Caenorhabditis elegans: one gene and its partners. The protein of the gene in region 4 interacts with the protein of the main gene of each other region in a pairwise test. Each region holds a gene or a part of one and is shown on either strand. Other genes may lie near its edges. The genes, in order: rcat-1, ceh-100, dac-1 and nhr-273.

Region 1 (6,915 bases), on a different chromosome or scaffold from region 4:
CCAAGTGTCCTTTGACATGTCCGATTTCTCTCTTTTTACGGCCTCCGCAGCCACAACCGCCACACACTCTGAAAATCTTGTACTTAAGTTTAATTTAATATATTGAAACTTACGGCGGTGGTGGTGGTGGTGCACAACAACCTCCTCCACCTCCACCTCCTCCACATCCACAACCACATCCATCATTAGGTGTGACTCTTGGAAAGAAAAATGCGAATGCAACGTGGCATATAGATAAAAATAAAAGTAACTTGAGAAACATTGGGTACTTTTGATGTTCTATTGCTGGATTCAAAAAGATTATATATGTCTCATAGCCTGGTGTTATACTCGTTTTTCTTGTTTGAGTTACTTGATCGCCTAATAGTTTCTTATCACAATTTGCTACAAGATAAAGATTTGTGGAAAAAGGAACATACGATAAAACTGGCATAAGCCGTCAATTGACACTTGCGATTATTCCATGTTAAGATACTGGATACTGGTTCACATCGAGTAACACACACGCATTATAACCGCATATTTTTAAGATAAATTAACAATTGTTTTATAATATTTGCACATTTTCCAGATACAGTGTGACCCATAATCATGCGGACAGTAGTTTGCGCTTATAAAATCAGATTTGAACATTCAAAATTATGCTAACAACACATATTTTATTCCATATTTTGTAAGGAGCAAAATGTAATGTCAACCTTTTAAAATATCCGATTATACAATGCTACAGGTCTGCTAACATGACATATCAGTTACATAAAAAGTAATGGGGTTATTCATGTGATATTGAAAAATACAAAATATATTTTTCTACATTTTTCGACAGGTGTTTTGTATTTTTCGACATCGGCTGCCGCCGGTTAGAGGAGTTTCAATAGAGTGATTTTTTACAATAAATTGCCCAATTTTTGCCAGTTTTTAATGGTTTTGATAGGTTTAACCTAGATTTTCTGAACGCTGCATAAATGAATTACCCGTTTTCAACAAATTTGGACAATATTCAAATAATATATGACTGCCCTTTTTTTGGGCAAGAAATTTTTTTTTTTGAAATTGTACAGAACCATTAGAATTTGAAAAAGGGAAACTTTTTAGTATTGGGAGATCAATTTTGAGTCCTCTAACTACAAAATTGCCCATTTTAGAGGAGTTTCAAAATTGTGCATTTTTGCCACTTTTGAATAGTTTTTGATGTGTTAAACCTAGATTTTCTGAATTCAGCATACATGAATTACCCGTTTTCAACAAAACCAGACAACTTTTTATTTTTGCCCAAATTTTTTTCAGCCATCAGCATACAGCGTTTATTGTCAGGCATTTGAGATATAACTCTTTTTCGATTTGAATTATCTAATAAACTTTCATGATATGAATAAATAACAAGAACAACATATTTAATATCGCAAAAATGTATTAAATCGACTAAAAATTTAAGCCAATTGTGATTTTTCCAGCATCGTTTGGTGGCATCGTATCCACATCAACTACGTTGATATATTCATCTTCTTCCGCAGTTTCTGAATCCACAACTTGTTCGCGATGTTTTGCAGAATTATTTTCTGAAGTAGTTGCCTGAAAATTCAATTTTTGAGTTTTCAGAACAATTTAACCGTCTGTAAACCTTTTCAATGTTATCAGGTTTGCTTTGCATCCTTGGAATTTTCGCCTTAACCTCATCATCATCTTCTTCTCTCGGTTCTTTCGTACTATCTGCAGCAACGGCTCGCCGCTCTTTCAAACTAATCGGAATCGCAGAAGATTTTGCAGTGTCCGTTAAAAAACCAAGCTTCTCCCGTTCTCTATTGTACCGAACTGTGATATTTCTGCAAAAAACATTATATTTGCCTACTGTTTCGGATGATTACCCTCACCTAATATCATTCTTTGAGATATATTTTAATTTACACTCGTAGTCCTTGTACTCATTCCGAATAAAGAAGAAGATCTGATCAGAAGTCCATCCCAAGTCAATTAGCTCACGAACATATTTTTCCTGAGATTCGGTGAGCCATAGAAGTTTGTGATCAAGATCATGTCCGATATGAGTAAAGCATCCAGTTGCCCAAGTTGAACCGTCCTCTTCTGTTGTGACCTGAAATATTTTTCAAAATTTTAAAACAAATTTTTTAAAAAATGTTTTACTTTCAAATATGCTGTACAAGTCTGGTCAATCTTCCTGGGATTCGATTTCCTGGATTTTGCGACACTTTGATACTTTCCGACACGATGACACCTATAAAGTGTTTCTCCAGCATGTCCTGTACGTTTTGTCAACGATGTACATGTGTCCTCCTGTCTCTGATCGAACCATTCCTAAAATTAGATTTTTGTCATTTTATCGAGAATATTTAAAAACCTTAAACTGGTCTCTTGATTGGAAAAACTCTCGTTCTAAATTAAACTTCTGATCATGGGACATGTGTTCTTGACGGCAATGCAGTAAAAATTCATCCAACGACTCTGATGTACTCGAACATTCGGGACATTTTAAATTACATCCACGATATTTTCCTGGTAGTTGCATTAACGAGAATTTTGAAGGTTTTTCAATAATGGTGGCAATTTGGCTGAAAATCATAGTTTTTGACAGAAACCTTTATTTTTTCTAATTCCAACCATTCCTGCGTTAAATGATGTGGCTGGATTGGACGAGAAGCTTGTCGATGTGGCGGAATATTCATCTCGAAACTATCTCCAGATGATGTGGATGGTTTTTGTGTAGATTCTTTAGTTTCATTGATATCATATTCATTGATTCCAACAACTTCTTCTTCTCCTTCAACAATCATTTCATCTATATAAACATCAAGATGCTCGTTGTCATGTTGCGGTTGTTCAGTGCACATCTGCAAGATCCAATTTTTATATTTAGTTTTCCAGAAGAATAGGGTTGTATTACCTTTTTATGCTGAACCAGATGCTTGACACTTCGAAATATCATCCTACAGTGGCAGCAAACAAACGATGTGCTAGATGCTCGGCTCTTTTTTTCAGATTTTATAGCGGCAATCAGTTCCTGACAATCTTCAGTTGTCCAATTATGAATCTGTGTCATGTGACGATAGATATTCTTTTGTAGACATGTTAGGGCGCATTCTGGGCATCGTATCTGATCAATAATGCAGGACTCGAGTTCGATAGGATTTGTGGTCATTTCCTGCAATTTTCAAACATTTCTATATCCGGAAGTGAAAAATACGTGTTTTCAAGGATTATCAGTTCCAGAAAAATTGGCATTCACTTTTGTGAATTTTTTTGCGTTAAATTCTAAAAGTTTATGGAAAATTGACAAAAATCAGAGGAAAATAGAAAATTAAAACGATTGGTAGGATTTACGCTCGTAAATCCTGTCACTTCGACGCGTCGCGTGTTCGCGTTGCGTGTCTGCAAGTCCGCTCCATTGCAGAGAACTTTAAGCGCGATGTTTGAAATAATATTTTTTGTGTCTTATAAAGCTTTATTAAATACAACTGAAGTTGCAATTTTTTTTCAGATTGGACCGAGAGAGAAAACTTTTTATGAATATTTTCAAGCGGTTAAAAAATCAATTTAAAAGGGAAGAAAGTGGCGAAACTTCTTCAGTGTGTAGACTTCCTCATGGCGGAGAGAATTGACAGATTAAAACTTCCAAAAAAATCTAATTTCTAGAAACGTATACGTGAAACTGTACTTGCAATTCGATATTCTCGCTATATTTTTTGCAAAGATTTATTGTTCTGAACGGAAAAATGGCGGAAAAGTCAATATTTCGTATTAATACATATTGCTGAAAAATCGACAAAAATTATTTCCTCGCATCTCTGAACACCCTCCGCGTCATTGTGTCTTTGGAGCCTGTGATTTGATAGTTGTGCCCGTTCATGCCCAAACACCGGACAATTTCGCAGATATTTGCCACGTCATCAATTCCACTGTGGTGGCGACCCTGGAAAATTAGAATTTTGCTGAGATTTCAGAATTTCAGTAGAAAACCTGATGTTGCAGCTTGTAGATGGCCAGAAGCTGGGCTATTCCTTTCGCGAAATGATTTGTGTGCTCCGCAGAAGCCTTTTTCACGTTGATCCATTGATTGAAGTACCTGAAGGACAATTTGTTTGGATTTGTGCGGTTCGTGGGACAAAAATGATTGTTTTTTAATGAAATTTCAGATTTTTAGAGTCAAATTGTACGAATTTTCAGCCTCAAATTGTCAGTTTTACTCTAAAAAATTTACTCTGGAATTCCAATATTCTTAAATTTCGCCTCATTCGGCAGCGCGACTTTCAGATCCCAATCTCCACAAGTGACGAATGCAAATTTGCCCTTTTCCAGTCGAGAATCCTCTTTCAGCCAGCTATCAAATTCCGATAAAACTTGTGGAAGCGTCGGTTTTTCGTCAACCATTTCCTGGAATTTTAGCATTTTTTCCTCGAAATTTTTGCATTAAAAACCTGAATAATTCCTGTTAAAGATGTGCAGAAAGATGTGAGCCTTGGACATTCCGTCGGCTTAACGTATTGATGAAAACGACGAATTTCACTCCAATCAGCCGTCGAGAGCTGGACCACTGGGAATTCGATGATTTCTTGGACTGGATGCATCGGCCCTTTCCAGTTATCTTGACACGTGGCTTCGAAGTCTAATACTAGAAGATAATCAAAGTGCTGGCTCATTTTTTGATCTGAAAAGATTAAAATAAAGTTATTTTGCCAAAAAGTAAGCAATCTCCCCACTTTTCGTATCTTTTTTCAGTGAAAAGTTTGGATATCTGGGTGGTTTCTTCACTTCCCGAGTCTTTACAAGCTTTGTGCTTTCCAAGAATGATGAGTAATGGGCTGAAATTAACTTTAATTATTTAAATTCGAAAAAAACTAGAAAAATGGAATTACCTACTGTGTCAAGTAATAATCTTGGTGTCCTCGTGAAGTTTATCGACATTTTCGAGTCTTAAATGATAAAAAATTATGAAATATTACGAAATTTGACTGGAAAACGTGTGAAAATCGAAAAATAAAATTATAGCAGATAAAATTAATCCATTGTCCGAGAGGAGTACACGGCCGTGTGGTCTAGAAACCTCAGCCCCTTGTCGATTTACGGGAAACAATTTCGATATTTTCGTAGATTAAAAAACAATTTTTTCGGCACAGCTGCCTGACAAGATTTATGATATTTCAAGTCTCACATTCGAATCATTCGGCGAAAAATAAGACGAAAAGAGAAACAATGAGTCAAAAATTATGCAAAATATTTAATGGATCCAAAGATATTGCCCATTTGGAGCCGATGGATACGACTCTGGTGCTGGACGGGTATAGTCTTGTGGAGGAGGTGGAGCTTTTCCTGGTGCCTCGGAAGGTGCTGGTGCTCTGTTTTGGCAGTGATGACACGTTCCTGGATTTCCTGGTTCTCCCTGAAATTATTGTTTCCGTTAAACACATGATTGGTTCAATAACAAATGTATTAATACTAAATCTAAAAGTTTTCAAATGTTTCAAAAGTTCTAGAAGCTTCCAGATTTTTTAAGAAAGTTATATGAGTTTTGATTTTTAATAGAATATTCTAGGACTTAAAAAAAAAGTAATTGAAGTCTCCAGATTTTTTTAGAATTTCTAGGAGCTTCCAGTTATTCTAGAAAAATTGAACTTCCCGCCAAAATTTTTTTTCTCAGAAATAGTGAATTCTCGCCAAAATTTTTCTCACTAAATTTGAATTGCCGTTTTCTAAGAACATTTAAATTCCTGCCGAATAACTCTACGGTACACCTACAGTAATCTTACAGTACCCTGACTTTATCCCCTTCCTAACTCCAAACCAATATCCTTTCAAAAGACGAAAATTGAATTTTCCCAAACCACAGTAATCCTGCAGTACTCCTACAGTATCCCTACAGTACTACTACGGTACCGTGACCATATCCTTCTACTAACTCCAAACCAATATCCCTTCAAAAGGCAAAGACACAACATTTTTCAAAATCCAGACTACAAACTACAAAGGAGACATACGTGCTATATTCTTTCATATATAAGTCATGACTAATTTCAAAATGTTCGAAAATATATCGGAAACATACCTTTGGTCCTTGTGGTCCTGGAAGTCCTGGGTTTCCAGCATCTCCACGTGCTCCAACGGCTCCTCGGACACCTGGTTGCCCACCAAGTCCTGGTTTACCATCGTGTCCTTTTCCGCCAGACAATCCACGTGGACCGACCTTTCCAGGTGGGCCAGTAGGACCTGGTGGTGCTCCATTCAATACTTTTCCACGATCGCCGGTTGGTCCCTTCTCTCCCGGTGATCCAGGTTCTCCACGTACTCCTGGCGGTCCTGGGGGTCCTGGACGATTGTCTTCACCGAGTCTCCCTGGTTTACCCTCAATTCCTGCTGGTCCACGTGGTCCTTTTGGTCCTGAATCAAATTTTTAAATTTATTTCCTGATGCAATTCAAATTTACCTGGAAGTCCTGGTGGTCCTGGAGCTCCAGTTGGACATTTCTGACATGCGTTGGTTCCTGGTGGTGGAGCTGGTAGATACTTTCCAGCTATACCATTGTCACCTTCTCTGCCCGGGAAACCGTCACGTCCAGGTTCTCCGTCGTCTCCTGGCTGTCCACGTGGTCCAGGTGATCCTTGAGTACAAGCACAGCAGGATCCTGACCCTGAAGCTCCATAGTTACCGTATGGAGACTGACGTTTGGTACGGTTTGGTGCCATGCGAGAGAATTTCATTTGTTTCCAGATGTCTTGAGACTCGGTCTTAATATCTAGGCTTATTCCTGGCAAAGCATCAATATTCTCACCTTACACAACTCTACCTCTGTTAACATCAGAGTTGTTACTTTCTGAACATGATTATGCATCAGTGGAAGTCCAATGATTACTGTAAGAACTGCAAATGTTGAAACAACACTACCAACGATGGTAGACGTCCGCCATA
Region 2 (7,618 bases), 8.2 Mb from region 4:
ATTTTTTGAGTTTTTTCGGGGGGAAATTGAGTTTTAAACGAGTGAAAATTAGATTTTCTGTGGCTTTTTTAGTATAAAAATTATATTTTAAACATTTTTAGCGTTTTCCAAGTTTATAGAAAATTTCGAACAGTTTTCAGCATTTTCAGAGCGAAAATATTACCGGTACAGAGAGTGTAGATAGTTAGAGAGTGACAGACATCCGGGACCCAATGGGGTGGGGCGCGCGGAAGAGACGATTTGTGTCGATTTACGAAGTTCTCCTCGTTGTCATCATTTCGTAAATCGACAAAAAACCGTCTCTTCCGCGCGCCCCGCCCCATTGGGTCCCGGATGTCTGTCACTCTCTAACTATCTACACTCTCTGTACTGGTAATATCAATTTTTTGAACATTTGGGCAATTTTTTGAGAAAAAAATCTCGTTTTTAATGGAAAAAATCAGTTTTAGCTGAAAAAAAAACAGTTTTTACTGAAAAAACACTGTTTTTACCGGAAAAAAGTTTATATTGAAAAAATCTTCTTTTTTTACTAGAAAAATCTGTTTTCAACTGAAAAATCTGCGTTTTACATCAAAAAAAACTTGACAAAATCGATTTTTAATGCACAACTTTGCTTTTTTCTACAAAAAAAAAATCAATTTCCATTAGAAAAATCTGCGTTTCTCACTTCTAAAAATCAGTTTTTACTGGAAAATTCAGTTTTTTAATGCAAAAAAGTAGAAAAAACGGATTTTTTTAATTGAAAAAAAAGGTTGTTACCAGAAAACTACGTTTTTTTTTACTGAAAAGCCGGTTTTTTCCTGAAAAAATCGATTTTTTACTAAAAGATTCAGTTTTTCACTGAAAAAATCAATTTTCTATCCATTTGTATAGTTAATTCCAATAAAAATTTGTACCAAATTAGCCGACAACTTGGTAACATCCAAAAGTCGATTCTTTGTATCAGTATCCAAAATTGGATTTCTTTCGTAAGCTTCATTGAGAATTCTCATTTGTTCTGGAAGTTCGACACTGTTCTTTTGATGAGCTTCAAGTGCATGTCGGCGACGTCTGTTGAACCAATCTTTCACCTGAAAATTAGAAAAAAATTAGAAATTTTGGGTGAAAATCTGGAAATTCGGCGGCGTTTTTTGGAGTGAAAATCTCGAAATTTCATAGAAAATCGTAATTTTTTTTTGTGAATTTTTCAGATTTTTTAGGGCTTTTTAATGAGAAAAATGTGAAAATTGAACATTTTTCGTGGAAAAAATTGGAAATTTTGGGTGAAAATCTGGAAATTCTACATTTTTTGGATTAAAAAACTCGAAATTTCAGTGAAATTCAACATTTTCTGTGAATTTTTCAGATTTTTAGGGCTTATCGATGAGAAAAACATGAAAAAATGTGAAAATTGAACATTTTTCGTGAAAAAATAGAAATTTTGGGTGAAAATCTGGAAATTTTACGTTTTTTGGACTAAAAATCGTGAAATGTCAGTAAAATTCAACATTTTCTGTGAATTTTTCAGGGCTTATCGATGAGAAAAACATGAAAAAATGTAAAAATTGAACGTTTCTCGTGAAAAAATTTGGAAATTTTGGGTGAAAATCTGGAAATTCTACGTTTTTTGGATTAAAAATCTCGAAATTTCAGTGAAATTCAACATTTTCTGTGAATTTTTCAGATTTTTAGGGTTTTTCGATGAGAAAAACCCTTTAGAAGGGCATTTTGGCGCTGAAAAATGAGAAAATTGAACGTTTTCAGTGGAAAAAGTTGGAAATTCTACATTTTTTGGACTAAAAATCTCGAAATTTCATAGAAAATCGTGATTTTCTGTAAATTTTTCAGGTTTTTTAGGGATTTTTAATGAGAAAAAATGTGAAAATTGAACATTTTTCGTGAAAAATAGAAATTTTAGGTGAAAATCTGGAAATTTTACGTTTTTGGACTAAAAAACTCGAAATTTCATACAAAATCGTGATTTTTTGTGAATTTTTCATATTTTTTGAGGGCTTTTCGATGAGAAAATAACTATTTAGAAAGCCGTTTTGGCGCTGAAAAATGAGAAAATTGAACGTTTTCAGTGAAAAAAGTTGGAAATTTTGTAGGAAAAAACTCGGTTTTTCTCAGAATTTTATCAAAAATTTGCCGGTTGTTTCTTCAAAAAATCGGGGTTTTCTTCATTTTTATCGGATTTTCTCCAAATTTTCCAATTTCCAGCACACCTGCGTGGTGGTCAAATCGAGTTCCTTGGCCAATTCCTTTTTCGTTTCCTCATTAATAAATTGACAATTGATGAAAACGTCGTCAAGCACACGAGTAATATATTCTGGCCATGGTGGATGTGATCCAATTGGAATTCCAGCACGAGCTCCTTTTTTCTTTGCCGGGGACGGGGTCCAATCAGCGTCCTGGAACTTTTTGGAGGGTTAGAAGTGATTTTTGTGGTGGAAAATTTGGCTTAGAATCGATAATTTTGGGTTAAAATGTGGAAAACGGACCGAAACCGAGTTTTCCGACTAAATTTCAAGATTTTTTAATTTTTTTGCTCTTTTTTCTGACATTTTCTGTCAAATTTCAGGCATTTTGTTTTTTTTTGCTGCAAAAATGTTAATTTATCGATTTTTAAGCTAATTTTATAATTTTTTTAAAAGAAAATCTGGGAAAATTGGCTTAAACGGACTGAAATGACTTATAAAATACTTTTTTTTCTAATTTTTTAAGTTTTTTTTCTTGAAAATTTTGCAAAAAAAGGAGGTTTTTTATCGAATTTTCCGACTAAATTTCAAGAATTTTCAATTTTTTAACTCTTTTTTCTGACATTTTCTGTCAAATTTCAGGTATTTTGGTTATTTTTTTGCTGTAAAAATGTTAATTTATCGATTTTTAGGCCAATTTTATGATTTTTCAAATTAAATTTTGAAGAAAAATCCAGAAAAACCAGGGAATTTATCAATCAGCGTCCTGGAACTTTTTGAAGGGTTAGAAGTGATTTTTTTTTGATGGAAAATTTGGGAAAATTGGCTTAAAATTGATAATTTTGTGTTAAAAAGTGGAAAACGGACCGAAATTACCTATAAAATACCTTTTTTTAAAAGCATTTTTCAATGTTTTTCTCTGATTTTGCCAAATTTCAGGCATTTTTTTTTTCGCAAAAATGTTAATTTATCGATTTGTAGGCCAATTTTTTGATTTTTCGCGATTTTTCAAATTAAATTTTCATGAAAAATCCAGAAAAAACGCACTATTTGAATTTTTTTCGTTGGAGAATTTTTTAAACTAAAAATATGTGAAATTGAAGAAAATCGTGGTCTAAAAATCTTTGTTTTTTCAGATAAAATTTGAAAAAAATCGACGAAAAATTGATTTTTGTCGTTTATAACTCAAAAAAATCAATTTTCGAGCGAGAAAATTCAGAATTTAAATATTTTTAAAATATATTTATTGCGTGGAATTCCACAAATTCCACAAAATCCCCAAAATCTGCCAATTTTTGGGCCAAATTTTCCGATTTTTTCAGTATTTCCATTTTTCCAAGTTCCCCAAATCCCCCACTTGTAGCTGCTGCTCGACGACGTCCTGCTGCGGCTCCAGTTCTCTCGGAAAAAACGGATCATTTCGTGCAAGATGATCGCGTAGAAATTCTCGTTCATCGTCGAGCTGCTGGTGTTGCTCATGCATTCGATGATGCATCGGTCCAGAAGTGACGGCCGAGGACACGAATTGCGGTGGTTGTGGAAGCTGTTTTCTCACATATTTTCGTTTTTGTGGGGGTGGTCCCGAAGTGCTGGGACGATTGTGAAACATCTGAAATTTGTGGAAAATTCAAGAAAATTCAGGAAATTTGAGTTTCAAATTCGAAAAAACCGCGAAAAATCGTTTTGAATATAATTTATTTCGCAATTTTTCACACAGAATTCCACAAAAACTCAAAAAAATCCAAAAATCTACGTAAAAATAATCGATAAACCGTTCAAATGGAATACGCAAAATTTCCTCTCACTCTCTCCGTCTCCGCGGTCTCTGTACTATATCATTTGCCGTCTCTCTGCGTCTCTGTGAACAGGGAACGCGAAGACCAATGAAAATTGGAAATTGTAATCGTTTTCTCGCAGAAAAATTGTTTAAATTAGTGAAAAAATCGAATTTAATTTATTTTTCAACATTTTTAATCTGAAAAAATGACTAAAAATCGATAAATTTGAACGAAAACTGATAAATAATTCCCAAAATTTTGCAAAAAAAGAACAATTTAGATGCCTACAGTACTTTAAAGGCGCATCACTGGTATGATGCAATGGGTCTCGAGTGGAGATTCAGATTTTTTAAGGAATTCTATGGAAATTAAGGAAAACCCTGGATTTTGAGGGTAAAAATGCTTGAAAAAATATTTTTTGGAAAACTAACAATTAAATTCAATAATTTTCCTTCTTTTTATTTGAATTTCAATTCAGAAAACCGGAAAATCTACGTTTCTCAATTCTCAATGGAGCGCGATTTCCATAGAGACTTGCGCGGAAATTTAAACTTCTGAAATACCAATGGAATCATAAAATCATGAGAAACTGCATCGTGAGATGTAAAAAGAGAGCGCACGAAAATTTCCACCCGAAATGTGTGGAAATGAGAGAGAGGGAAAAGAAAACGGGAGAAGCGAAGCGGCCGAAGAGTGGCATTTCCCATTGTGTGTCTTCCCCCTTCTTTTTACATTTCCCGATTTCGAATGTCCTTGAAATTAAAGGCGCACACCATTTTTGCATTTGACAAAGATTGTGTCGTGTCGAGACCTGATACCGTACTTTTGGCGCACAAATCGTAAGTTTTTGCGTTCGTTAATCGTATTTTTTCACATAATTATTAACATTCCAGTTGTCTTTCCTCATCGTGTTAAAGGCAAGACTACTCACGGATTTCTGGCTTCGCTCAGAAATTGAAATGGAAGAGTTTGCCGAACTAGGCCATTTTGGCTCAGCCATATCTGTGGTAGTTTTACGGCGCGTTGCGTGTCGCGTCGCGGCTCGATCTTAGTTGTAAAACTAAATGTATTTGTCCGTGTGGAGTACGCGTTGTCCGGCGGGCGATTGTCAATGGAGCGCGAGAAATTCAATGAGGAAGGCCAGAACCAGGTGACTACTCAGAAATCACTCTTTTTGATCTTTGAATTGAATAAATCATTTGAAACAACACTTATTCGGAAATGCGATTATTCATGTCTGTTAAATATACCGTTTAATAGGATTATTTGGGAGAGAAAACAGACTAGAACAAAGTTGAATAAATAAACCTTTGAGATCTTCGAAGATACCGATGAGTCTGGACACTCCAAAATAGTGCACTAATCCAAGAATTGACGATGGTGATTCCGGCAACTGCCGTCAGTTCCAAGCCTGAACATTGAGCTTGACAGGCAACGCGTCTTGTTTCCCAAAACATTTTAAGACGTGATCTCTGAAGAAATTTAGTTTAAGCTCGTTAAAAATATTTTCGTAATCCGAGACCGATTAAAATACTCCCTGTCTCGAGGAGAGTTTGACACCTTGATACTAATTCAATCATGATAGGTACCTTAAAAGTTAAAAAAAAATTGCTCAGTACCTGAAGTAGCGATACAGTGATTTCATTTGACGAAAAACTGTGAGACAGACGTTAAACAGTTTTTTGACGTTCCAGACACAACACATCATTCCATCAATTATTCCGCAGACTTATTTCTTATATGGATGTAATTTTTACAGAATATACAATAAAAAATGTTCTTGTTGCAATATATTAATAGGATACAATAGGATTTCCCGGTACAATAGATGGAAGGATACAACTTCTGACTGCAATTAAGATTCCTGAGTTCAGGCAAGCCTAATCGTAGATTTTTCTTTCTGATCATAGAATTGAATGAACTATTTGACACTATATTCACGGAAAAATGGCTATGTGAACCTCAGACTTCCTCTAAAACATTTCAGAACATAATCCTAGACTTTGTTAAAATTTATTCCAATTTTATGCTAATCTCACGAAAAACGGAACATAATTTCAAAAACGATAAACTAGGTACTTCCCCGTATAAAAGAGAACCCCTAACTCCACAATCTTCACTCCATCATGGCTGTCTCCACTGTCCTTCTAGTCGCTGCTCTCCTGAGCACCGCCACCGCGGATTTTTCCCCAAGTTTCCGTGCATTCATTCAAACAACTTATGGGTCAGCAACCTTGAATGCACTGGCTAGAACTGATCTTGGAGCAGCTGGAAGTTATGGAGGGGGACTTCATGATGGTCTCAGTCCCACTACGTAAGTTAATTTTCCATGAATAACTATAGATATTCTGATATTGTTAAGCCGAACACCTGTCATCCTAGTTCATGGAACTACCAACAGCGCTGGTACCTTTGCTCCGCAAGCAGCATACTTCAGAGCAAATGGATGGTCAGAGGAGACTGTATATGCTACCACATACGGTGACGCAGGAGTTACTACGGCTACAAATGTAAAAATGCTTTGTGAATATGTGCAACAGATCAGAAATATGATCATTGCTGTGAACGCCTTCACTCAGCAAAAAGTAAATGTCATTGGTTACTCCATGGGATCCCCAATTGCCAGAAAAGCCATCCTTGGTGGAAAATGCGCTGAGAATACTGTTCAATTGGGAGCTCCACTGACTAGTATCATAGAAACCTATATTTCTGTGGCTGGTGCTAATCGTGGTACATCACTCTGTGACATTCTTTTTGCTCCACTGGTTGTGCCAACATGTAACACGAAAAATGGACTCAAATGTTCATCAGATTTTCTTACAGACATCCGTAGTGTGTAAGTTTTACTTGTAACTGGTTTTATTTTTTGAAATATCAAATATTTTAGCTCAGCTTACGAGGGACAATACATCTTCTCAATCTATGGACCTAGCGATGACAAGGTCGGATTTAACACCGTTTGTGGACGTGTTTCTAGAATTGATGGAGCAACGGCCGAAAAGGATAATGTCAGTGAACCTAATTTAAAGGAAGTAGGGAGGAAGCTAAATTCTTGATTTTCCAGGTTCCCGGAAACCACGACGCTATCATCGCTAACACAGTTGGCGCCACCGCAGATCTTCTCACTAATCACGCATTTTAAGAGTCTTCCTGATCACAATTTTTTCTGCATTCTCTACTCTATATCCAATTATCCTAATGGGGGCCTCAGCAAAATTGTGACCTGATAAATCCATCCGCATATTTTCCTTTTTTTATTATCAGAAATCCGTATTAAAGAGTTTATCTCCACACACACTCGCGCAAAAAAAAATTTAAAAAATATTTACTATTTCATTTCAATTCCCCCAATGCCATCCTTCCCACGCTGCGAAGAGTGCGAGGATGTATTCCAAGGAAGGTATGATGTCGTTGATGTTCTTGGTCAAGGATCCTTTGGCATCGTGTTCCAGGCGCAGAGGAAAAATGACAGGGAGCTTAGAGCTGTGAAGAGGCTTGACTTGGATTCGTGAGTTATAAGTTACGAGCACACTTTTCCTAGCCTATCCTCTGAATTTTAGAGCCACTCTCCCTCGTGCTGCACGTGAAGTTACAACTATCACATCAATCGGTCGTCACTCTGGCTACATTTTCTTTGATGAAGTGTTTTGGAAAGAGCACAAG
Region 3 (10,392 bases), on a different chromosome or scaffold from region 4:
ACGCAACGGCGCCCGCGCCGGCCTCACGGCGTCACTCACGCCGCATGTATCCGACTGTATAGTGCGGGGTGGTACCCCGAACACGTCAACAACGACTTTTTCGCACTACGTTGCGCACACTAGGGTGGCGATAAGTGGCAACAGGTCGACCTGCCTATTTCACAGCAGAGCTTCACCAACAATTCAATCATAGTTTTGAAAATAAAAATTACATTAGCATGATCCATTTACTCAAATTTTCTTTCGAGGTAGACACTTTATTCATTGAAGTTGCTCAAAGATAGGCTAGGTCGACCTGTTGCGACCTATCGCCACATAGCACACGTGTCGGCGTGAGGCCCGCATTTCGCGCCTCACTCAGTTGGGAGCCCTGGTTTTTGTGAAACACTTTTTAAAAATGAATACAACTCACCCAAAGCCCTCGCAGAGGTGCTTGTTTCCCGGGGAAAAGGTAGGCAGAGATGATCCTGCTGGTTGATAGAGTATGTTTAGTAATACCGGTAATAAAATTAGTGAAGCTGTCATCTGAAATTTCAATATATAAAATAATGCCACATTTCAACTTTTCGACCTAAAAATGTTTCAGTGCAATTTAGCACTACTTTCGAAGTTTTGAAGACATTCAATATCCAAGGAAATTTTAAAAAACAGGTTTTTGAAAAGAGTTTTAGATTGTCAACCTACTTGTGAGCACTTTTTAGAAATCGAAAGTCTAAATGTTTTTGGTGCATAAGAATCTTGAAATTAGTGCAAAGATACTATGAAAAAATGTTAAAACAATTTGTGTTATGCCGCTTAAAATTTTGCTTCCTACCGTTTTAAAATAAATACTTAATTTTAAAAAATCTAAAACACAAAAAGAAAATGGCAGTTGCTGTGCGTAAAAGCATCTTAGAGACAAGAAACAAAAAGTACACATTGGGTAGAAAGTTTATTGGGTATCATAAAGAAACAAGCCCTCTTCCATTTCTCCCATAAATCAGGTCAATGGGACATGAGGACACCCGGAGCAAATGGAAAGGAAAACTTTGAGCAAATGATGGATCCAGGAGAAAAGAGAAGTGTGGATTGAGAGAAGGGGAAAATTTGGGAAGATATAAAACAGTTGGCATTTCTTTTTTCCATCACGCTTTTTGATATCTTTCTGGTGGAAAAATAATGAAAAAAAAACGATATTGTTGTGGTCAAGCAATCCTGTTGGACTTTGTGCACAAGACACGTTGTGATCGAAACAAATTTTGTTGATTTGAAAAGTTTCCGATCCTTTCTGATATAGCTAACGAGTACTTAGAGAGGTCCATTTCAGTTTTTATCTGGAATTTTTTCACAACAAGGTTCATATACGAATTACACAAGCCAATTCTTATCGCTTTCAAGTAGTCAAAATAAATCATATTTGGTTTTCAGAAAAAAATTCAACGAATTTTAACACTTTAGAGGTAATCAGTAATAGTCGAATTTTGATGCATTCAAATTTTGACCAGATTCATTCTGAAAGTGCGGAAAATCAGTGTTATTGTTGCAGGGGAGCAACAATAGTCAAACATACACTGTTAACTTTCCGACGCACTCTAGATATCCCATCAGCCGTCTTAAAAAACCAAAGTTCGCCACTTGTGATCCATCTTGTCAATGCTTATCCCAACACAACAAATATGATGAATTATTTCCTGTGTCAGTCAGTGAAGCGCCCCGCAGATTCCGATCATTCAATATGTGGGGAGGCTGGGGGAGGATAATCCATCATCTCATGCCCGCAAAAAATCAAAATTTTGATTTCTGGATCTTTTAAAAATCTCGAAAGAAGTTTACCACTGTGGAGTCCTCCTGGTTGCTGAAAAAATCCTCCTGGTTGTTGAAAAATATGCTTAAAAAATTCAGGCTGGCGCGGGTGCCGTTGCGGCGACCTCATGGGAGTCTTACGAAAAACGGTTGGAATCGGAAGATGAAAGAATCGGAATACGCGAAAATGTAATTTCTATTGTCTTCCATTTTTTGTCAACAAAATCGCAATTTCATATGACAGTTTATTTAGTGCTTTTTTCTACACAAAAATACTTAGTTCGTAATTCTGAAAAAAATTGAATTGATTTCAAAAAAAAAGCTTCAAAGTTCCACAGAATTTCCGTCCGAAGACTGCTCCTCCTTTTCCTTATATCTTCTCAGGTCCGCATTCGCCAGCAATAGTTGTTTTTTGACATATTTGTAGCGTTTTTCGAAAGCCGTGCATTTCTTGTTCTGAGTTTCGAGCTTTTTGCGCAAATCGCGTTCTTCTTGCACAATCTTGTGAAAACTCTCTCGAAGAACTTGTATTTCGCCTGAAAACTTATTTTTTGAATTATTTTTGCTACGTAGTTTTTTTTTGTTGTTATATCAATCAAAAATTCGCCCTATCCGTTCAAAACATATTCACTTATTGTAAGAAAAAACTGATATCATTCATTAAAATGTTTCAAAATAATATTGGTTTCATTTGGCTTCCCTTAATAAGTAAAATACCGGATTAGACTTGAAATACATTTCAAAAGAGTGGAATTTCAGAAAAAGAGAGATTTGTCTGAAACCTTATTCACGATTAGTCATGGAAGGCATTGGAGATCAAAAAAGTAGGATTAGTAAAAATACTTTACAGTTATCAGGTCTTGAGAAATAAGTGACAAGAATAGTTTTAAAATGTTTGGAAATGTAGGACCCTTGCAATGAACCATGTGTTATTCAAGAAGAATATAGTCCAAAACTCACTTCGCTCTTTCCATAGCTCTTCTCTTTCATGCTTGAACTGTTGGCTAGCAAGTTCAATTAAGGACATTACTTTATTCATCATAGAAGCTTCATCGTTTTTGCCACTACTACTACTACTCCCAGCCTCCATTGACATTGACAATGAATTTGAGTTGGAGCCACCACGATCACTAACAGACGTGTTTGGTGAGGACTAAAATGTTTAAGGTTGGATGCAAACAAACTATAAATGTGTGCCTCACATCTTCTTTTCTCATATTTTCTAAAGAATCTGAGTCATTCTCAGAATTTCCTCCACTTTTACTTAGATTCAATGGCGTTATATCATCAGCGTCTCTCTGATTTTGATCATCATCATCTGCTCTAAACATTGCTGAAGTTATGAACAATAGAAAATGACTCGACTAACCTCTCAAAACTATTTTTCGTCTTCTGAGAAAGCGCAACAAAGTGTTGCATCAAAATTTGTTGAGGCGTCATTTGCGGTTGCATTAGTTGGTTGAATACGGGCCCATTCACAGGCTCTAAAAAATTGAATTAATCGAGTATATCTGTGAAAAGTTTACCTGAATCCGTTTTATCTTTCTTAATTATTACTGCGCCGTTATTCCAATCATCAAAGCTTCTTTTTGATGGGCGCCCAGGGCGGGTACTGAAAGCGAAGGATTAGTAATATTTAGATGTACTTCTTAAATTTAATGATTTTTTTGAAATTCAGGAGCAATGTTTTCGGGACATTAATTTCAACTATTAGTGCCTATTGAATCTCTGAACTAATGCTCTAATGATTTGCTAATATATTTACTAGAGCTATTTTTTCCCAAAACTACGTACTCAACAGTAGCAGTCAATCATTTAAAGTTTGATCCTTTATGCTAAACTTCTACGAAAACCGGGTTAACCTTGGTAAATCTTCATCCAGGAGGGACGCTTTTTGCAATAGGGCTCCCATCAGAGGTGGGCGGATATTTTTTTCGGATATTTTCTAATAATGAATTTATCAATAAGTATTGATGTAGTTATTCTGGAAGAAATGTATCCGAACAAAAGAGTAACTATTAAGCAACATTTTAATATGATAAAACCTAGGAAAATTCTACAAGTTTTCTGTATAAACGATATGCAAGTCCATTATCCGATATCCGTAATATCCGATATCCGATGTTGCTCGGCTAATAAGTTTTAAGGTCTCGGTAAGGAAAACTTGTAGAATTTTTCTAGGTTTTATCATATTAAAATGTTGCTTAATAGGCCCCCCCCCCCCCCCCACTCTTTGGTTCGGATACATTTCTTCCAGAATAACTACATCAATATTAATTGATAAATTCATTATTAGAAAATATCCGAAAAAATATCTGCCCACCTCTGGCTCCCATGAGGTCGCCGCCACGTCGCCTGCGCCAGCCTCACGGCGTCAATCACGCCTCATTTATCCGAATGTATAGTGCCGCGCTGAACCCCGAATGTGTCGGCCGCTTCCAAATAATTAGCTTTTCGCACACCGTTGTGCACACACAGCGGCGTCGACGTGAGGCCCGCATTTCAGCTGGGATCCCTAATGTAAGTGATAAGGAAACAATTCTCGTGAAACACCTTAGAAATCACCTGTCAGAAGTTGTTTCTTCGGTAGGAGGTTTAAAACTCTCCATATCATACTCTTCATAAAAAACCAATCTTCTACCAACTGGAAAATCCATTTTTTTCAAAGTAAAATAACTTGTCGTAGTTTCTTCTGTAGCTTGGAAAATAGGAAGTGAAAAAACCTCTATCTTATGAAGCTAAGCGCATAGTAATAGCGTAATAGCATTCGCCTGACTTGACAGAGTTATCAGAAATCAAAATTTCCAAGCCAAGTTTGATGCTACTTTGGAAATATGACACTTTCATCACCTGATGATCCCAAAAAGTAAAAACGCCCACCAAGTGCTTGTACAATCGTCATAGAGTTTCTCGAAATCCGAAGTCTTGAGTAGTTTACATCGGTTGACACCCGGCTGGATAGCTCCAAGTGATCGAAGGGCGCGCACCTAAAAGTCGTGGATGGTGGAGATTTTATAGAAGGATAACGATAAAATATCCGTATTTGCATGCGGATTATGAGAGATTTTTATTTTCTTTAAAAAAGAGATTAAACATCAGATTCTTTTACGGGTTATTTAATTGGTTTAGAATATTGTCAGTCAGGTGAATTTTCAAATTATTCTAAAATTTGTTAGTGGACAAGAATTTTTACCTGTTCTACATTGCAAACCATCGGATGAATGTACAACCGTTTGAGTTTAGTGTATACCGTATGAAGTCCTCCTACCATATTTTTGAGAAATACCTCGTACACCTAAACTTCTCATGTCTTCTAGACTATTTCGTTTTCACAAAAAAAGCTCATACCTGAGGCAAACAAATCATTTCTTTGCCGTTTATGTCAAAAGCGGCGACGTTATGCCCGCGGAACTTGATCAACTTGGCTGCAACATTACAAGAACCATTCAGTGAAGATGAAGAGCCAGAAGAGGACAACGAGGATTCACCAGATGAATCTGTAGTGTCACGTGGTGAGGTCGAGGATTCTTGATACTCATATGGAGATAGAAAATTGGACGAAGAAGTGTTAGATGAGGAATTGTTCGATGAGGAAGAAGAAGAAGATGGGTTGATCACGAATCCGCCTGGAATTTTTAATTTTACACTCTTTCTGTTCTTTTTGGAAACGCTTGGCATACTACATTTTATGGCTCAGCTTAAAGGTGAAGTAGCGCCATTGGGGATTTTGTCTAAATACATTTATAATGATCCAGAACGACTTAATATAATAATAATACATTCCAAAAAGTTTTAGATTTTTTATAATTTCCGGACAAATTTTTGCAAAGTGCCAAAAAAAAAAAGAGCTTTTAAGGAGATCCAAAGCAATGTCGCATGTTCCGACCCCTACAATGTTTTAATAAAAATAATAAAAACAAAATTGCAGTATAAAAAAGTAGGAAAAAAAATTTTTTGGTCGACTTCCAAAATTATGAGTGGCAAAAACTGAGTAATTGTCACTTTTTGACAGTAAATAAAAAAATTTCAAAAAATTTTTGAAAAGTTTTTTTTTTATTATGATATTCTGTCATTTTGGCACCTATGAGTACTTTTTAACACTTCCCCCACTGGTGCTACTCCATCTTCAAATATTCTGCAAGCTCTAATCGCTGTTGATGCATCTTAATAACCCAAATACTACTTTTTCGGCAATTTTAAGAGTTTTCACTCAATCCTACCAAAAAATTTTTAACTAACCGAATTGCTTATCTGCCTAATATAGTAAACACCTCTAAAACATTGAAATTGTTTTTCAAAAAAATTCCAAAAAAATGGCGATAAGTTTAGTTTCGCCGCTTAAACTATCACTACAACTCTCAAATCTGAAACAACATGCGTTATTAGACCATGTGTACATCAACCTCTTTCATCGATATCCATATAATCAAATACTGATAATAGTTGTAAGCAATAGGTAGAATTTGTATGTTTGATGTTGATGTGAAATGGAATAGGAATTGAAGTGAGCGCGAAAATAAGGTATCCTCATTTTTCTCTGGCACAACCCCGTTATCCCACCGACAAATCCGGATTACCATCCGAAAATCCTCACACAGGTAATGTACGGGTGATTTTCTAATATTTCTAAGTGCTCCTACACATAAATATTTACCGATTTTTCGTTTTTGATAGAGTAAGCATGTATTAGATGACGCTCATGTGGGGAATAAATAGGCAAAAAAAGAACTGACGTACTTATTGATGACATACCTAGTCTATTTCGTAATGGTGATCAACCCTATTGTTCCAGAATTTCTACGTCACAATTTCATTTGAAATTAAGTTTAAAGTCAGCTTCGATTATTGATTCCGAGCTTTCTGGGAAAAATATCTTCAAGAAAATGACATCACTTTTTAGAGAGCAATGAAAAATTGATATACATACGTATCAGGGGAGAGCAGCAAGTGCCGTTCGGCAAATTTTTTTGTTTTTTAATTTTCAATTCCGGCAACTTCCAAAAACAATGTGCAAAGCTATAATTTGCCGAACATTTACGGCAATTGCCGTTTTTTCGGAAAAATTCGGCAAATCGGAAAATAGCCGGTTTGCACGATTTGCCGGAAATTTTCAATCCCGGCAATTTACCGATTTGCCGGAAATTTCAATTCCGGCAATTTGCCGACTTGCCGGAAAGAATTGCACAGTATCTCCTTGCACGTAAAAATGATTTTCGAATGACTTGTATGCTCTAATGCGGTGTGAGAGCAATAGATGCTGCAAGACTATTGAGATAATACAATAGTTTGTTACTTTAAAGGAGTAACTTACTCTACAACGCTTACTTACATAATCCACAAAGAAAATTAGAAAATTAGTATGTTTTAAAAGATCGTCCCAAGGCGTCCGCTACTCAAATTCATGTTTCAGGTTATAACAAGTTTCTTAAAACGAGAAAAAAAAGTCAAAAACTTTTTGACGCGAAAAATGTAGTTCTATATCAAAGAAAAATCTCTCTTCTTTATTTTGAATTGGAGTCAGAATCAGTTAGATATTCTAAAGTTTATTTAAAAAAATTTCTTTCAAAAAAGTCTAGCTTAAAACGTCAGAAATTGTCACGGAATCAAAAGGGCTCATTTTTTAACGGTTTGAAATTTTCAAATACCTGCAGCAAGTTTTTGAAAATATCCGCCAAGTTGGCTGAGTTCCTGCATTGCTGCCAGCGAATTCATTCGAATGGTTCAAGAAGACACACGAAACTCTTCACATTCAGATGAAAGAAATTCGCAACTGAATGGTGAAATGTGGTTGCCATCATTTCGCAGATTAGGATCTTGAAGACAGGTGAAGACGAAGACGAAGAACTGAATAGGAGTTCTTCTGTTCATTACATTACAGGACATTCCACCTTGAGACAAACTTAGTTTATTGCTATTGCTATTGAATGAAGGAGGAAAAGAAAAAGGAGGAAAGGAATGAGAAAATCGGCATGAATGGATTTTTTTCTAATTGATTTGTAACCTGAAAATAGATTTTGTGGAGAAGTTTGTCTTATACGAGAAATTTGAATATTTACCTTCTCGTCATCAATTTCAGTCAGAGTAAAATTTAAAAAAAACATTTAATTTTAATTTTAATTATTGTTTTGACTATGAAATGTCCCTGTGGTGGATTTTGCTATGAAAAGTATTTGAAATTAGTGCCAGTGGGCGGTGGGTGGCAATTGCCGTTCGACAATTTTTTTGTCAACAAATCCGGCAAATCGGCAAATTGGCGGTTCGCCGATTTATCGGAAATTTTCATTTTTGGCGTATTCCCAAATTGCCTTTCGTCGAATATCAGCTTTGCCGGAAATGTTTAGAGGAATTTTTATAAGACGGAAACACTTGATTGCCTTTTTGAAATTTTTTCCCGTTTTCTTCAATATTTTCATAGAATTTGCTTACTTTTCAAAATAGATGTAGGAACATTTGTAGGACGCGTTCAATTTTGCCAATTGAAGTAGAAATTCAGAAATTTCCAAAAATCAATTTGCCGATTTGCCGGGAATTTTCAATTCCGGCAATGTGCCGTTTTTTAGAAAATTTTAAGTTTCTCCAGCTGAAAAGAAATTTTTCATTAAAATCTTACTGTACTCTTTTCTCTTGAAAAACATCCAGCTCCCCCTTTAAATTTGGAACTTTTTATACCATTCCTCTATATAATTATTTTCTCTCGCCAAGAAAAAAATATTTCGAAAAATGGCTTCATTTAATCGCCAAAAAGTCAAAAATTCAAAGTCAGAAAAATTTAAATTTCGGGAAAAAATAATTTAAAATTTGAAAATGTTGATAATTGAAGCCATAAAACAAGAGATCAAAATCCATTTTTGTAGCTGAACTTTTGCTCACTCACACACACACAATGATTCAGAGGCTTTCCAATTTTTTTTGGGTATTTATAGACTTGCTGCTGCTCTGAAGCTACTAAACGTGTAGCCTACATCTGCATTGATATAATCATGGCTGAATGAGTGAAACGTAATTTGAGCTCTAGACGCATGAGAAATTCATTTTTTATAGTGGTGCAAGTTCTTGAGGCAAATTAGAGCTGATACAGTACGCTTATTTGTGAAAATTATAAAAAATATCAATTTAGTTGGCAATCTTTATAAAACAGTGATCATCCGGATAAATTCTTATTAAAACGCAATTAGACTAGGGCTTTCATGAAGTCGCCGCATGTATCCGAATGTATAGTGCGGCGGGGGATGTTTTTCGGAAGATAGTAACAAAAACTGTATAACCATATTACTCAGGAGTCAAATATGTACCGCACAAGCTTTTTCTTACAATTAGAAGTTGAGACAAATTTCAGATCAGTGATAAAATTGTTTTGTGTCAGACTTGTCCGGAACTAATTTTTTTTTGCTAAACAATCCGAATTGAGAATAAACACTGAAAGGTCATAGGAAATCATAGGAAATCAAAATCATTTTTTACATTTTAGTACATAATCAAAAATTTTTGGTAAGAACCAAACATTCTCCAAAACATCTTTTGAGGCAAGAATCTGGAGCCAATGAAGATTTAAATCTCAATCTAGATTTGCAACATGGCAACGATTTCAAGTAGAAAAGTGATTATGTGGTTCAACAACTGGATAATCCAAATGGTTAAATCAGTTGTGATTATTTTCAAAACTTAATTTCGGGAAGTTCCTAATAGTTTTTCGGAACAGTTCAATACCTTTTTGTATTCATTCTATCATTCACCGAAAAAACGAACTAAACGAACAACTTAAGATCCTTATCTACTTGTCTCTTTACATTAAATTCTTCTCCTTGCTAATGCAACTTTTTCAAACGATTGTTGGGAATGGTTTCTAATGTCATGTTCTAGAGAACAGGGAAATATAAACTTTACTGTCGTATTTGTAGGAATGAAATTCAATGAAAACAGTTGTCTTGTTTAGCAAAGTGGCAACAGAACTGTCCAGACCTGACACCAAGTGTATGGAGATTTTTGTTAAATCGTACAACCGTGGTAAATATGAGAACTTTAAAGCTCATTGTTACCGTTCAAGCAATTTCTCAGAAAACTATATAAAATGCTGCAGAACGTTTTTTGCAAGTATTTTGCCCATTTTTTCTTAATTTTTAAGTAAAAAATTAAGCTCGAGGCGCCTCTGGTGGCCATTTTTAGAGTTTAAAACTCTAAAGAAAATGTGTAACAGCACTCAATAATTTATTCCTCAATCACAGTGTTTTATAACATATTCTTGTCAATGATGATGAAAAAGTGCGTGGTTTGTTGAAATTGAATCTCAGAAAACACAACTACGCACGCACAGACACACATAAAAATGGGAGAAGGAGTCGTTGCCTATCACATTGTTGCTTTCGGGAGGGGAACAACATTTGTCGAAGGAGGTAGTGGAAGGATCCGAGGTACGAAAAGAGAGAGCTGACAAAGGATATATCAGATGGATGGTGAATGGTGAACACACGATTCGGAAATAATTATTTCGGCGAGCATTCTGGGATGAGATCGAGGGAAAGGAGACCGACAGAAGAGAAGCTCCTCGTGATTTGAGGATGAACGGGATGGAGGGAAGGATCTACAACTAAGGAGAGGATATGTGACTACGGG
Region 4 (6,758 bases):
ATTTCAAAAGATAAATTTTGTTAAATAGTGAGTGAAAAAATGTTTTCCACATTTTATCAGTTTTAAGTTTTTTGATATTTTCATGTTCCGCCAAGTTATAGACCGTTTTCTGAAAAAATCCATTTTCCGCCATAAAAATCTTCATATATAACGTATCGACTTGAAATTTTGAAAAATGCTCACTTTTTTGAGGTCTCTACAATGTCCTAAAAAATCTTTCAAAAAATCCTGCCCATCTCCAAAATCGTCCTCTGCTCCAAAATAAGAAATGGGACTTTTGCTTTTCGAAAAATGGGCGAAAAAATCAAATTGCGATTTTTGGGTCGAAAAAAATATTTTTAGAATGCTGAGAACACGCTATTTACGAATTTCATATTCATTTTAGGTGAATTCTTCTTTAAAATGACCTAAAAATTAAACAAAAAGAACATAATTTTAATTCTCACGTAAAAATTTTTGGTAACTTGCTCAGTGCTTCAATTGTTTTATTGTAAATAAAAATATTTCACGTGAGAATTAAAATTATGTTCTTTTTGTTTAATTTTTAGGTCATTTTAAACAAGAATTCACCTAAAATGAACATGAAATTCGTAAATAGCGTGTTCTCAGCATTCTAAAAATATTTTTTTCGACTCAAAAATCGCAATTTGATTTTTTGGCCCATTTTTCGAAAAGCAAAAGTCCCATTTCATTTTTCGGAGCAAAGGACGATTTTGGAGATGGACAGTGTTTTTTGAAAGATTTTTTAGGACATTGTAGAGACCTCAAAAAAATGATCATTTCTCAAAATTTCAAGCCGATACGTTGTATATGAAGAGTTTTATGGCGGAAATTTGATTTTTTTGAAAAACGGTCTGTAACTTGACAATACATAAAAATATCAAAAAACAAAACTGATAAAATGTGGAAAAATATTTTTCATTTACTATTTAACAAAATTTATCTTTTGAAATTCAATGAATGTTGAGTTATAAAGGATACAATAAAAGAGTTCTCAAAATTTTTTGTGAATTTTGGAAAAATGGCTTTGACTCTGTGTAACTCAACAAATAGTTGGTGTATTCAAATAATAATTAATGTAATAAAAATAAAAAATATTTCTTTTTTTTGAGATACGCCAGTTTGAAGATACTCAGTTTAGCGAGTTTAAGCGGTTATTTGGTCCACTGAACATCTTTCCCTATACTCTCATTTTTTCAGAGAATTTTTTCAAATTTTCGATTTTCAGCTCGATTTAAATACATTCAATGTCAATGGAGAATTGGTAAAATCTGACTATATATATGCCTACCTTCTACCTACCTACCATCTATTTTCTGTACTCAGAAGCAAAGTACACTAAAGTGAGTTGAAACAAATTTTCACGTCTATTTTGGCTTTAGGCACTCCTTCAGGTAGGCGTAGGCCGTCTTTTAAGCAGATTGTCAATATATTATACATTTATCGTAAAATGAGTAAAAATTAGTTAAAACTTAAAATATGATATCAATTATAATTTCCCATCACGAGATCATAAAATTCATCGGACGGCGCATACAAGTTGAAAACTTTTGTCATTTCCAAATCATCCTGTATCCTACGAACACTTTTATGCACATCTGGTAGAATATTCACAAGAGTTCCAATTCTCACAAGAGGCTCTTCGACTTTTTTTACATTCCTCATATAAAAATCGAGTTCTTTCAATACTTGAGTTTTGATCTTATCGCCAATTTTAATGCATTCATCGCTCAATTCGATAAGTCCAGTATCCCAAAGTAACATTGTGAAGAGAGCAAGATATTCTATTATATCCATTTGAAGAGTCATCATTGGCAAGATCACTGACTTTTTGAAGCGCTCATAGGATGGCTTGAAGAGTCTAAATTTTTTAGATTTGTTGTACATAACTGATTTTTTCAGGAATAGTTGGAATATTCTAACGACATATTCCAGATCGAGTTTTTTCCTACTCACCTATTAATATCTTCACTGGAAATTTGCTTATCAGAATCTGTACCATTGTAAAATGAATTCAAATCATTTGTGTCAATATAGTCCCCAGATGGGAATGTTATTGCATCCGGTGTATTGTTCAAATGACTCGAAAATCCACTTTCCATAATGAAAAATGCGGTGTACGAGTTGTGGAACAAAATTCTCTGAAAAAAACAATCCACTTTAACTGCTAAAACCTAAAAACCTACCTTCTGATCAATCGGCAAGTTGGAAAATTCATCAAAGCTCCATGAGACCCAATCAGAAGCCAACGTGACATCCTTCATACCCTGCTTCACCGCTTCTTTGTAATTTACTGCCTTTGGAGTTCTCTTTTCAAATACAGTTTTATCTTCAGCCTTGTGAAGCGCTATCCGAGCATTGCACATTGTTTGGTAACTTGCTCGGATTTTTGAGAGAATTGGCATTTGACCCGTAAGTGGTAGTTCGAGCATCAATGAGTTGGACGTTCGGGGGCTCGAGAGTAAATCAATTGAAACTTCTTTGCGGTTTTTGGGTAGTCTTGGTTTCTGTTGAACTCCGACAGGATTCATTCCAACCTCAATGCATTTGACATAACGGCACGCACGGCACATACATCGAATATCTGAATTTTATTTATATTAAATTTTTAATAATTAAACTAATCCAAAGTTTGGTCCAAACAACTTCAAAAAAACGACCGTGATTTTTTTCAGGCGGTCCCTTTTTTCCCAAAAAATATGTTACATTTTCTTTTGCTTTTACAAAGGTACAACATGCCTGTGTAAGGAATTGATTAATATGTTATTTTTTGTACTTTAAAAATTAAATGTTAATATTTACAGAAGTTTAAAAATACTCACTAACAGTAACATCGCAATCGTTATTCCCTTGACACAAATATGTTTTACTCTGGGACACACTTCGACGGAAAAATGCTGCGCAAGCTCTGAAATCTAGGTTTTAAAGTCTGACCTATAAATAAATAAGTACCTGCAAGCTTCTGCTCCAAAGTGGAACCCATCTCCAGGTTCTCGGCAAATTGAGCATTTCGATTGATCCTTATCTTTTTGTCGTGGTCCCATTCTAGCAATTTAATTTTTTTCTTTTAAATTAATCAATAGTTTATGAACACACAAAGTGCAGAATAATGATTGATAATGGAGATAGAAAGATAAAATATGGTTTTCTGTTGATAAATAGTGAGAGGCGGAAAAGAAAAAAATTACGAGGCAATATTGCATTCATTTGAAACGTATTCCTTTGTAAGTTGAATTAGTAAAACAAATAAAACAAGAATTTTGTTTCTTTTATTCTCAGAAATTGCCAGTAACAAGATCAAAAAACTCATTGGGCGCCGAAAAAATATTAAAGACTTTAGTCATCTCCATGTCATCCTGTATTCTCCGTACGCTTTTATGAACTGCTGGAAGTAAGTTGACAATTGTCCCTATTCTAACTGATGGCTCTGCGACTTTCTTCACATTTGTCAAATAGAAATCCAGCTCCTTGAATACTTCTGCTTTGACTTTTGTGCCAATTTCCAGACATTCATCGGTGATCTCAACAAGGCCAGTATCCCAGTGGAGAAGTGTAAAAAGTGTGAGAAATTCATAGATGTCAACTTGAAGATTCATCATTGGGAGGAGCAAAGATCTCTTGTAATTGTCGTAGAACGGCTTGAACAAGCTGAAAATTTGAAAAAAAAAACGTTAAGTTTAACCATCTCTTTTCTAATACTTTTCAATATCTTCCGTGCTGATTTTTTTTTCAAAATTTGTAGAATTATAGTATCGCTCCAAGTTTTTCATGTCACAATAGTCTCCAGATGGGAAAATGACAGAGTCCGGCATATTGTTGATATGACTTAAAAATGCAGTTTCCATCATGAAAAATGGAATGTAGGAGTTGCGGAACAAGATATTCTGCAAAAAAGGAAAATTCAAAAATAGAAGTATTTTTAACATGTCTAGTTTTAGCCTCATTATTGTTCAATTTGCTCAAAAATGTTTTGACATTTTACGTAGGCATATGAAATAGGTAGACAAGCAGGTAGGTACGGCTGTAAGGCACCGCTATATTTAGATCTGCTGCATGCCTTAGCAAATGTCCTACCTACATGTCTGCCACATTTCTGAGGGCCTACCTACGCACCTTTCGCCTACCTACATGGCTACCTTTTGCCTCAAGGTATAGGGAAACATTTGATGTGTTAAAATAGCCATTTAAGTTTTCCGACTCACTTTCTGATCAGCGGATAACGTTCGAAACTCATCAAAACAAGAGGACACCCATTCAGGCATCAGCGTATAATCCTTCATTCCCTGCTGAACTGATTCTTTATAATTTATTTCTTTTGGAATCTTCTCCTCAAATACATTTTCTCCAACTTCATTGTGCAATGCTTTCCTGGCATTTCTCATATTTTCATAGTTCAATTTCATTTTTGAAAGTATTGGCATTCGACTGAACTCGTCATGATTTGATGAACTGGGAGAGATGAGTTCCTTTGATTTCCGGAAACTACCAGGCTTCTGCCGAACTCCTACAGGGTTCATTCCAACTTCGATACATTTGGTAAGTCGACATGCCCGGCACATGCATCTGATGTCTAAACAAATCAAGATAGATAATTTCAATTGGGCTTAGAGAACAAGCCGACTTGCCTGTCTGCCTGGCTTAGGCCTAGGCTTAGAGGCTTAGACTGAGCCTTATGTAGGCTTGTAAGCCCGACCTTAGTGAAAATGTTTTATTTTTTTGAAGTTTTTTTTTACAGAATGCCTTTGAGTTTATAACATAGTCCAAAATTTTGGCTCAAAACAGGTCAATTAATTTTTACTCACTAACAGTAACATCACAATCGTTATTTCCGCTACATGTATATAATTTATTTTCTGAAATACTTCTCCGGAAGAATGCAGCACATGCTCTGAAATTGTGCGATGTCTTGTATACAATTTAAATTTTACCTGCAAGCTTCTGCTCCAAAGTGAAAACCATCTCCAGATTCTTGACAAATCGAACATTTCGATTGATTTTCCCCTTTTGATCGAGGCCCCATCACGGGAAATTGGAGAAAATGGATGAGAAAAAGAAATAGAGAAAAGAGGAATTGATGATAAGAATGATAATGAGAGAGTGTATGTAGTTCTTGTAGTTGCCCAAGAGAGAGGTGGAAAACAAAAAAATTAATAGAGAAATTTTACACTTCCGGTAAAATTGGATTTGAAAATTTATTAACTTCTTCGAAAGCTTTTTTCCAGAAAATTGTTCCAAATAATTTTTTGGTCAGTTGGTTATAAATTTGTCAAATTAATTTATTCAGTTTTTTTTAAAATTTGTTTTGAAAAGTAGGATATATAATTTTCAAGTTTTCCCCCTTTTATATACACACAGTTGTATAAAACTCATAATTTATTCAAAAATTTCAATCCTTACATTACTACAAAGTTTCTGAAAGACATTTCAAAAAAAATTATTTACAAGAGATTTATGAATTTTCAAAATTTCGAAAATCCATCTATTTTTGTCTATAAATGGTAGTTTTCATTAAATAATAAAATACGCACTAAAAGGTAGGGCTGAAAATGTACTATTTCTGTAACTACGTGAAGCATCTTGTACCTACTAGAATATTGTTGGTATATTCTGAAAGAGCTTAAAAATTACTACAAAGTTTCTGAAAGACTGTTCAAAAAAAGTTACTTTGAAGAGATTTATGAATTTTCAAAGTTTGGAAAATCCATCTATTTTTGCCTACATATATTAGAATTATTCTTATCCTACTAGGGCAAGGCTGCCCACTAATGAATAATATGGATTTTTTCAAATCCTCGTAAGATGCCAATTTCTTATAATTGATTTTTATTGAAACATCAAAATTTAAAAAAATTTTAAAAACCAAAACAGCTAGAAAAAAAGACACAAAACCAACAATTAAAACAACAAAAAAACAAATATTTTGATTTAAGCCGATGAACCGCCACTCCAGAATGTCTCTCCGAATTTGTGTTGAAGAGAATTGATAACCTTTTGACATTGTGCCTCGACTTGTTTGTTCTCATCTGGAAATTTAAAATTTTAAAGGATAATAGGCAAATAATTTGATCTTCAGGACAAGAAAATCGAGAAAAAAGTGGATTTTCATAACTTTTATGTAAGCTTGTTTCATATAGTAATTACAGTTTTTAACTAAAAAATTAAGGATTTTGAAAATAATTCTAATAAAAATTGGATTTTATGGTTAACTTTCTAAACTTTTTTTTTGATTTATCGATTTCTCCTGAAAAAAAAGAAAAAAATTACGATGAATCTCTTGGTATGAATGAATTATTGTAATTTTTACAAAATTTCCGAAACAAACCTTCAATAAGCTCATTAAGGAACGGAAGAAGAATCGAAAGATGCGGTTGTACTCCATCTCCGATCTCCTTGATCAACAACTCGAGAACAATGAGAGCACGATAACGGATCTTTGCTCTCGAATCTCTTGTCTTGAGCATTATCTTATTCAGAAGCTCTGGGAAGCTGTCCGGATCAGCATTTCCGATACGGTAGATGGCTGGAACCAGGTGATCGGAACAACGTTTCTCATGGCCTTCAACCTTCGTGTTAACCAATTCATTGACTATCACATCCGACACCAATTGACAACGATCACTGCAAAATTGATAAAAATTACAGATGATTTGAGATTTGAGGTCTAGAAAATCCTATATTTTTCAAAAAAGTCCAGTCAAAGTTGTGAAGAATTTCCAAATTCTTGGAAAATAGGGAATTTTTGAGTATGATATCATTGA

The links.
Region 1: the proteins of nhr-273 (region 4) and rcat-1 interact in a two-hybrid assay, tested with the Caenorhabditis elegans proteins (one large-scale study listed by BioGRID).
Region 2: the proteins of nhr-273 (region 4) and ceh-100 interact in a two-hybrid assay, tested with the Caenorhabditis elegans proteins (one large-scale study listed by BioGRID).
Region 3: the proteins of nhr-273 (region 4) and dac-1 interact in a two-hybrid assay, tested with the Caenorhabditis elegans proteins (one large-scale study listed by BioGRID).

What each region holds. Positions count from the first base shown.
Region 1 is NC_003282.8:252,273-259,187, forward strand, and holds rcat-1 (C2H2-type domain-containing protein), read right to left. Parts: upstream 3,158-6,915; 5' UTR 3,155-3,157; coding exon 2,900-3,154; intron 2,847-2,899; coding exon 2,617-2,846; intron 2,568-2,616; coding exon 2,357-2,567; intron 2,314-2,356; coding exon 2,143-2,313; intron 2,093-2,142; coding exon 1,872-2,092; intron 1,824-1,871; coding exon 1,622-1,823; intron 1,573-1,621; coding exon 1,423-1,572; 3' UTR 1,347-1,422; downstream 1-1,346. Other genes in the region: grl-19 (Ground-like domain-containing protein), read right to left, coding at 1-68, 114-262; R02D3.8 (Exonuclease domain-containing protein), read right to left, coding at 3,785-3,925, 3,973-4,078, 4,214-4,386, 4,431-4,660, 4,713-4,814, 4,869-4,917; dpy-9 (Nematode cuticle collagen N-terminal domain-containing protein), read right to left, coding at 5,231-5,392, 6,056-6,387, 6,434-6,734, 6,779-6,915.
Region 2 is NC_003280.10:12,599,895-12,607,512, forward strand, and holds the start of ceh-100 (Homeobox domain-containing protein), read right to left. Parts: upstream 3,787-7,618; coding exon 3,535-3,786; intron 2,397-3,534; coding exon 2,205-2,396; intron 1,071-2,204; coding exon 897-1,070; intron 1-896. Other genes in the region: lips-15 (LIPaSe related), read left to right, coding at 6,082-6,269, 6,318-6,791, 6,843-6,963, 7,020-7,097; Y38E10A.8 (Protein kinase domain-containing protein), read left to right, coding at 7,306-7,463, 7,516-7,618.
Region 3 is NC_003281.10:813,355-823,746, reverse strand, and holds dac-1 (Dachshund homolog dac-1), read right to left. Parts: upstream 7,603-10,392; 5' UTR 7,477-7,602; coding exon 7,428-7,476; intron 6,278-7,427; exon of another isoform or gene 6,186-6,277; intron 5,409-6,185; coding exon 5,131-5,408; intron 5,078-5,130; coding exon 4,976-5,077; intron 4,770-4,975; coding exon 4,663-4,769; intron 3,395-4,662; coding exon 3,309-3,394; intron 3,267-3,308; coding exon 3,152-3,266; intron 3,106-3,151; coding exon 2,985-3,105; intron 2,936-2,984; coding exon 2,743-2,935; intron 2,699-2,742; exon of another isoform or gene 2,678-2,698; intron 2,319-2,677; coding exon 2,107-2,318; 3' UTR 2,017-2,106; downstream 1-2,016. Other genes in the region: clec-149 (C-type lectin domain-containing protein), read right to left, coding at 413-525. UniProt on the Caenorhabditis elegans protein: Transcription factor. Plays a role in the thermotactic response.
Region 4 is NC_003280.10:4,431,665-4,438,422, reverse strand, and holds nhr-273 (Nuclear Hormone Receptor family), read right to left. Parts: upstream 3,124-6,758; 5' UTR 3,045-3,123; coding exon 2,953-3,044; intron 2,909-2,952; coding exon 2,823-2,908; intron 2,585-2,822; coding exon 2,187-2,584; intron 2,142-2,186; coding exon 1,957-2,141; intron 1,862-1,956; coding exon 1,486-1,861; 3' UTR 1,425-1,485; downstream 1-1,424. Other genes in the region: nhr-109 (NR LBD domain-containing protein), read right to left, coding at 3,276-3,648, 3,700-3,884, 4,203-4,570, 4,803-4,888, 4,929-5,020; toe-1 (HEAT repeat-containing protein 1 homolog), read right to left, coding at 5,926-6,023, 6,323-6,618.